Daphnia pulex: one gene and its partner. The protein of the gene in region 2 interacts with the protein of the main gene of each other region in a pairwise test. Links are inferred from orthologs where the notes say so. Each region holds a gene or a part of one and is shown on either strand. Other genes may lie near its edges.

The links. The genes of interacting proteins can lie anywhere in the genome.
Region 1: the proteins of rac GTPase-activating protein 1-like (region 2) and protein ECT2-like interact in a two-hybrid assay, tested with the Drosophila melanogaster proteins (2 studies listed by BioGRID). The link is inferred for Daphnia pulex from reciprocal best matches to the Drosophila melanogaster genes tum and pbl.

The regions. Positions count from the first base shown.
Region 1 is NC_060024.1:8,173,690-8,177,403, reverse strand, and holds the start of protein ECT2-like, read right to left. Parts: upstream 2,853-3,714; 5' UTR 2,658-2,852; coding exon 2,546-2,657; intron 2,481-2,545; coding exon 2,413-2,480; intron 2,355-2,412; coding exon 2,091-2,354; intron 2,021-2,090; coding exon 1,808-2,020; intron 1,747-1,807; coding exon 1,600-1,746; intron 1,542-1,599; coding exon 1,407-1,541; intron 1,349-1,406; coding exon 1,198-1,348; intron 1,130-1,197; coding exon 906-1,129; intron 844-905; coding exon 655-843; intron 590-654; coding exon 221-589; intron 121-220; coding exon 1-120.
Region 2 is NC_060028.1:9,420,922-9,424,679, forward strand, and holds the start of rac GTPase-activating protein 1-like, read right to left. Parts: upstream 2,310-3,758; 5' UTR 2,165-2,309; intron 1,842-2,164; 5' UTR 1,828-1,841; coding exon 1,743-1,827; intron 1,684-1,742; coding exon 1,481-1,683; intron 1,409-1,480; coding exon 1,082-1,408; intron 1,011-1,081; coding exon 806-1,010; intron 729-805; coding exon 509-728; intron 431-508; coding exon 157-430; intron 81-156; coding exon 1-80.

The DNA.
Region 1 (3,714 bases), on a different chromosome or scaffold from region 2:
CTCAATGACGTCGGAGAATAAAAAGAGTGTCAGCTGCCCACCACGACCAACAATACCATCGCCCAATTCAATAACGTCGCATTGGGATACAAAGCTACGATGGGAAGAAACAATATGTGCCTAAATTTCAATTTGAAATAATGTAAAAATGAGTTGAAATTTAACATCTATTTTAATTAAAAGAAAAATTATTTAAATGACAAAATTTAACGAAGCTTACAGGACAGTTTTCGATGTCGTTGAAAATGTCAAAAAGGACAACTTGACCCTCAGTCCTCCGTTTGTCTTCATTGATGTGCGTCATTACTTCTTTGATCGTGGACAGAGCTTTCTCCAGTTCACCGTAATCCGGATTGCTTTTTGGGGTCTGCTTGAGTAAATCGTTCAAAAGCAAACTAATGGATGGTAGTCGTTGAACAGGACGAATAAGAAGCTCTTGTAGGCTCTGCCGTCGACATTTGGGATTACTCTGACCCAGTTTAAGGAATGCGTGGAAACGTGGCTTCGATCGGTCGCTCATGCTCAACACTTCTTTGGTTTGCTCAAAAAAGTTGACAAAAGGAGGGTAGGCCTTAACCAAGTCATGCGACTACAAAAGTAAAATATACAGTTATGTAAACGAATATGCTGGGTATGCGAAAATTCTTTACTTACATGCTTCAAAATTAAAGCTCCGACGCTGATGTCTTCTCTCCAGTTGAGTGCGGTATTTTTAAGTTGCACAAGTAACTCGAAATGGATTTCATGGATAGGCGGTAGATTGCCAAAAATGATTTTGACCTCCGTGGGATCAAGCAAAGAGCCTCCAACTTGGCTAGGATCCTCAAGTGGCTTTTTGAACACCTAGGGATGAAATGTTGAATTTATATATTGTGGTAAATAACGCGCAATAAATAACACCAAACCTCAACAATTGTCTCCAGTATTTCCACATAATTCATTTCCGTATGCAACAATTCCATGAACACCTGATGTCGAGGGGACATTGCTTTGAGATCCTGTGGTGTAGGAACGGAAATGGTGAGATCACCTTGACCCCCCACTTTCTCGGGACTCGTGGCATCTAGAAACGATCCACTTAGGCTGAGTAAGCCAGATTCACTAATCGAGGAACGGCGGCGATGAGTGTCTATGAATAAACAACATTTTCGTTAGTCATTAAAAGGGGGAAAAACTCCAAGCAATAAACATTTGTACCATGACCAGACGATGGAACTTGAAGTAAGCCAGGCGATCCTCCTTGAGCAGCAAGTTGAGACACTGTGTCTCTCAAGCGTTTACGCTTGCGGTTTCGAGATCCTGGAGTTGTGGGTGACAATACCCCATTCCTTGGGCTCGTCAAATGAGTCTGTAAAAATCCCGGGTTTTTAGAAGCGTTGAGTAAACAAAAGAATATCAATTATTACCTCTTTATAAGGATAAAGTTTTTCACTGGCACAAATATCCATTTGAATTGAAACCCAAAACCATTTAACTTCAACCAACATAGCTTTACTGGGTAGCTTCTCTGGAATGTTTCCAACTCCAAGGGGGTCTATTACCTATTAAAAGGATTTCGTAAAATTCCACCATTGTAAATCTTATTGACATGAAACTTACCACATGCGTGCAGTTAGGATCATCCAATGTAGTTACAGATCCTCCGTTGGTAGTCAAAATTTCGTTCATTTGAGTAACCTCCTCGTCATTAATACCTATCCAGCAAACATTGGTGCCCTCAAAAATCTTGAGTGCGTTGTTCGTTTGCTGCAAAACGGAAAATATTTGATGTGGTAAATAAATTTCAATAATGACAATGAAATAATACCATTGTGGAGTCAATGGCACGAACACTTAGATCGTGACGTTTTTCCCACGCTAAGTGGACCCACGAAGCACTCATAACTGGAATATTGAATGTGACTGCATACTGATATTTCTCTCCTCCAACTTTATTGGCAATAAGGTGGGTGATTTTGTTACAGTCAAATTCCTTTCGAATGCTGCCACCCATGTGATGGATACAAGAGACCAGTGTGTTCTAGTGATGGTAAAACATTATTCCAATTGTTAAATGATTGGAAAATTGCATTTCTTTTAAAGCAACTCACCACTTCCTCTCGATTTCTAAAGCCAGTGAAGCAGGATACTACATTCTCCATTGAAATAGAAAACAATGGCCGATCAAGTTCAGGCATAAAATACTTCTTAGAAACTATGTCAAGCAAAGCTGAGTAGCCCAGAATCCTGCATTCCTTCTTGTACAGAACCTCAAACACTTCATCGGAAAACTCATACAGAACAAACACTGTGTCATGCTGAGGGTTAACAAATTCAAGACCATCTTCTGAATGGAATACTGGTACTCCAAAACTCTAGAAAGTACATTTTTACAAATAACAACTTTGACATTTTAAATGTATAAAAACTTACTTCGGCAGCTTCTTGAACCCCTTTCACATCACACACTCTTCCCACTAAACATATCTTGGATGTAATAACTGAAATATTTACAAAAATATTTAATAGAAGTGACAGTTCTACATGATAGTAAAAATTTTTATACCTGGATGAGAATCCTCTTTATTCCTGCGAGATTTCTTGGACGGGGTTTGTAGAGTAAGGTAATTCATAGAAGCAGACACTGAACCAGACATGTCATACGTTGTCTCCATCATTTTGATTTAAAATAAAATCCACGGGTTGTAACGTTTGAAAATCAAACTCCCAAAATTTTTCTCAACCGTATAACAAACAAGACTGGAGCTCACAATCGAATTTCAAAAAACAATAAGTAGGCGAGCCATTTCTTCGAGTTTATTGTGCAACTGTAAACCACACTGGACTGCCTTGCATAAATGAAAAAGCCGAAATTTCAAATTTCATACAGCGTTGCCAGACAGTTTGCCCGTGTTTATACGAAAATTTTCCATTATCCTACCGCGACTCCGCGACCGTTATAAACACCATCACATCAATGCATACGTGTGTGTTGGTATGCACCTGCGGTAGAGGATCCTTTCTTTATCTCGGTGCTCACCAAACCCTAAGATGATGACAAACACTTTCAGTTTGCACACCTGGTGACTCGCCTGTTGAGGCATATACTTTAATTCCATTATTTTACCTGCTATTTTTAATACTTTAATTTTTTATAATTTAATTTTTAATAATTTCAATCGATTTTCAGAGTTTTCTGTTATAAACTTAAAATGAACAGGCTACACGTTAATCAATTTTAATTATTAATTCAAATTTTCTATAAATTAAAATAATATTTGGAGTCCAAATTTCACCTAATCTAAATAATGTCTTTCGTTCCAGGTTCTGAAAATATTGTATTATCAAACACAAAAAATTTTTATTTCGAGTTCTAATGTTCTAATGTCTCAACATTTTGAAAACAATTCAAAATATTTTTAAAATATTATTTTGAGCCCAATGTCAGGTCATAGATAAAGACGACTGGTTGATTGTCTCCTATCCTTTTAGCCCTATCCCTACTGACCCCGAGTTCTTGGAGTGCTTGTAGTGCCTCTAGCGGATAAAGTACTGTACTGTACCGAGGCTACGAAGGGTTTTGCAGACGAAGATTGTTTTCCTTCTGTCTTGGTAAAATTCTTGGCTGGCGTTTAAAAGTCCTAGGTAATTTTGTCATAACATTTTTATTAAGAAGTCACATTGTATTTAATTTTGACGTTTTTCAATGGCAAAAGCAGAGAAATCAATTAATTC
Region 2 (3,758 bases):
AACAGCTTCAACGTGCCAGTGACAACGTGAATATCAATTTGAGACAAAGTCGGCTGGCCTTTGCCACGCAAGAGGCGCTCCTGAAATTGAATAAATCAAAGGGCTGTCATTTGGGACTGATCAAATTTGGGGTTCGATTCCTAGTGATGAAATTACCTTCATGTCTTTAATTTCCTTTTCGGAACCGTTGACACGATAGATGCCAACCTCTGTCAATCCGCGGCGCTCAATTTCGTTGACGCAGTGAATGACAATGCCGGGGATCATAGGAGAGATGTTGGGAGCGTAATCAGCAACGGTTCCGACGAATCCCTTATTAGAGGGTGTTTGAACAGTCGGGACGCAAGGCATGGGCATGCGGGACTTGCAATCAACGTGACAAGTTCCTCTACATTCGACACACTTCAAGGCGGGCTTGCCAAATTTAATCCTGCGCAATAAGAGGTTTCACTAATTAAATTAAAGCCCAGCACGTTTCCCAACGCAAAGAAAATACAACACTCCTCACCTGTTGCCACAAGGGAGGCAGTTCTCTGGTTTGATGATGGTTTTCTGGCTGAAGGTGTGCTGGCGCTGATTGATTCGCCCACCAGAAGCCATAGTGCGCAAGTACGCAGTTCCGCCAAGCGTGTGGGTCGAGTGCGCTGAAGCCGACGGATTAGCACTCGGACGGCGGATGGCCACGGGAGTCTTGCCATCTGGAAGTTCCCAAGATGATTCGATCAAATCTAGTTTGTCAACAAACAATTAATTAGCTGTTGTTCCCATTGTTGTGGCCAGGCAATCAAGACAATTTATCTCTTACACTGCGGAGGAGCGTTCGGTAGGATTCCCGGTTCGCTAGAACTGCGCTTTCTTTGGTTTTTAGGTGTTGCATTGCTGATATCGTTTTCCCTGCCCATATCGGGATGGTTTTCAATAATAGATGTGGCTGTGATTGGACCTCCCTTGGATACAGTCACTGTCGTTGTGGCAACCACGCGTTCGTGACCGGACACTTCCATGATATTCTTTAAATGCAAACAAAGAAAAGAGAGTTGGTAACTAATGTCACAGAAACGAGGGAAACTTTGAACTGTACCTCGCGATTAGACGACGCCTTGTATCGTTTCGAGTTGTCGAGATTGTACATTCCTTCCGATGTCCTTTTACCTCGAGGTGCCCGACTGGAACGCATCACTGAGAGCTCGAGTTCTTCCTCTGTGCGTTCAGTGGTCAGGTCGAATGACGCCAAGAGCGAGCCGGTGCTGTTGAGCTCGTTGATTGTGTTTAATCGGTCACCAGGCGAATCGAAATTGCCACGCGAGTAGCGTCCTGTGTTGCTGAGCATCGCCAGCTTTTCACGTGTCTCATCTCGAATATCTTTCTCAGCTGACACGATTTCACGTACAACGTGCAATTGCTTTTCCTGTAAAACAAGTGCAGACGAGACATTGATGGTAAACATTAAAGAGTGATAATAATGTTGCAGATAACATACCAAAGACTTTTTCTCGTCAGACACTTGCTTTCTGACTTTGATCTCATTTTTCAGCAAAACAGTAGCATGGTGGTATTGCAGCTCTAATTTGCCATTCATTTTGTTGACTTCATTCAACTGATTGTGCAGACGTTTGAGCTCTGCTTCAGCTTCGAGCCATTTCTGGCGGCAAGCTTCCTGATTAACGGCAAACTTGAGGAATTCTAAAAAGAAGGAAAGTGTCAAATGCAATGATTGCCACACATTGTCTTGAGCAATTTACCTTTTTCAGAACTGTTGACAAAGTAATTGAAGCCTCTGCACAGGTCATCATACTGAGCCAACACAGATACCTGCTTGGCAGACATGGCTAGGGGAAAACCTAAATAAGAATCCATTAATGTCAATGCCACAACGGGGGACCAGTTTGAAGTTTGGCGAAACAACACATCAACAAATTTTTAATTATACAATTTTCAATAATTAAAACTAAAAATGTTTAAATATCTCAATAAGTTCAATCAAACCCTTAAATAAAATGTTTAAGACTCTTTCTAACTGTTGACAACCAGAAAATAAGACAGTTTGGAACACCACTACAATTGACACTTGTTTGGGTGTGATTTGAAAACCAAAGAAAAGTGACACACAAAATGCTTTAGAAAAAATTTTTAACAGCAAAAAAAAGTAAAAACGTTCACATACCAAAAATAAAACACTCTTAATGATGGAAGACAACAGAAATCCCCGTTGTAATTTGAAGCTTTCTTGTAAAACGGTTCACTTGTGGCTTACAGTTGGCATCCCGACGACGAGTATCGAGGGAAAACGCTTGGATTTTTGAAAATGTTCCGTTGAGGAAGGGTGCGGCGTTGCCGATTTTCCGTATACATGCTCGCCCCTCCCTTAAAATACCCCACCCCCTAGCCTAGTCCACCTGACAACTAGAGAGTAATGGAGCTTACAGCTTAAAGACGTTGGAAAAAAAGGGTGAAGATTTACGACAACAAAAATATACTGGATCGATATGTATAGCGATGGCTCCATATTTATTTTCAATTATTCATAAGAAATATTATTCTCCATGAATAACGATCACGAGTAAACATGACGTTTGCTGCCGCCGGGCATGGATGCGCGGCGGACATGCTCCCGTCTTTAAAAAAAACCCAGAAAAATCCCAAAATGTTGAATATGGAAATGTAAGCAATAAAAGTCAATCGCATTATGGAAATGGGGGATTTGGCAGATATTCCTTCATCCACCACGAGCGCTTTCCATCGTCCAATGAGCCATTAATCGCATTAAATCTACTTTTTCTCCCGTTTATGTCCACCATATTTCTTGACATTCTCGGAATTTCTTTTTTTTTCCCCAAGAAGATATTAGAGACTGCTCATCTGCGAAGCAAAAAAAATATACATAAAATAAACCCAGCAGAGAAACGGTTCTGTATATGCATGAAAGCGATAATGTAGTAGTACAGTAGGAGTCGAGCGAAAGTTTTGCGCGAGCTATATAGCCTCCTCCTCATCCATAACTCGAATAATCCATCATCCAAGACCATAGACACATATACTTTCTCTCTCTTTCTCCATTTCGTCGTCTTATATTCCATCCAGGGCTCTTTTCTCGTTTGAAGTTGGACCAAGCAACTCTACACTATATACTATATATCTCTGACACAGACTCGCCCGGGAGAGTTGGGTTTGGTTGCTGCTGCACACAGTATAGTAGTAGTACTATATACGGCATCAACTCTGAAAGGCGACAGATATTGCTGCCGTGCTGCATGCTTGATGTTGGATTTACACTGTCTACCCTAGACATCTACATTCAAAAGAGCGCATTCGCCTATATGCTGCTAGCTGGTTCAATATTTATTCTGAAGCTTTCAGTCTAGCTATCCTTTTTTATTTCGACTGACTTGATGGAAGTCGCACAGCATCGCACGACTCTTTTTTCTCTTTTTTCGTGTTGAACAAAAGTCATTCAAGAAAAGAATTGCTGCGAACCGCACTCGAAAGAGATCAACACCGCGACGACGGGTTTGAAATATTCAAAAATGATTTTTTGGAAGGAGACTCTCATTTCTCGGCGGGATATCGTGTTGCTGTGTATACACAGCGACTATAACGCCAAAGAGATACACAAGCGAGAGGGTTTTCAATATATGACATTCGAGTCTGGAAAAAAAGGAAGGAAAAGACACGTTGCATTGATGGGGTCACGATCGTCTACAAACCAAAGACGATCCGCATTGTTCTCAAATTGAAAAAGAACGATGGAAACATCATCG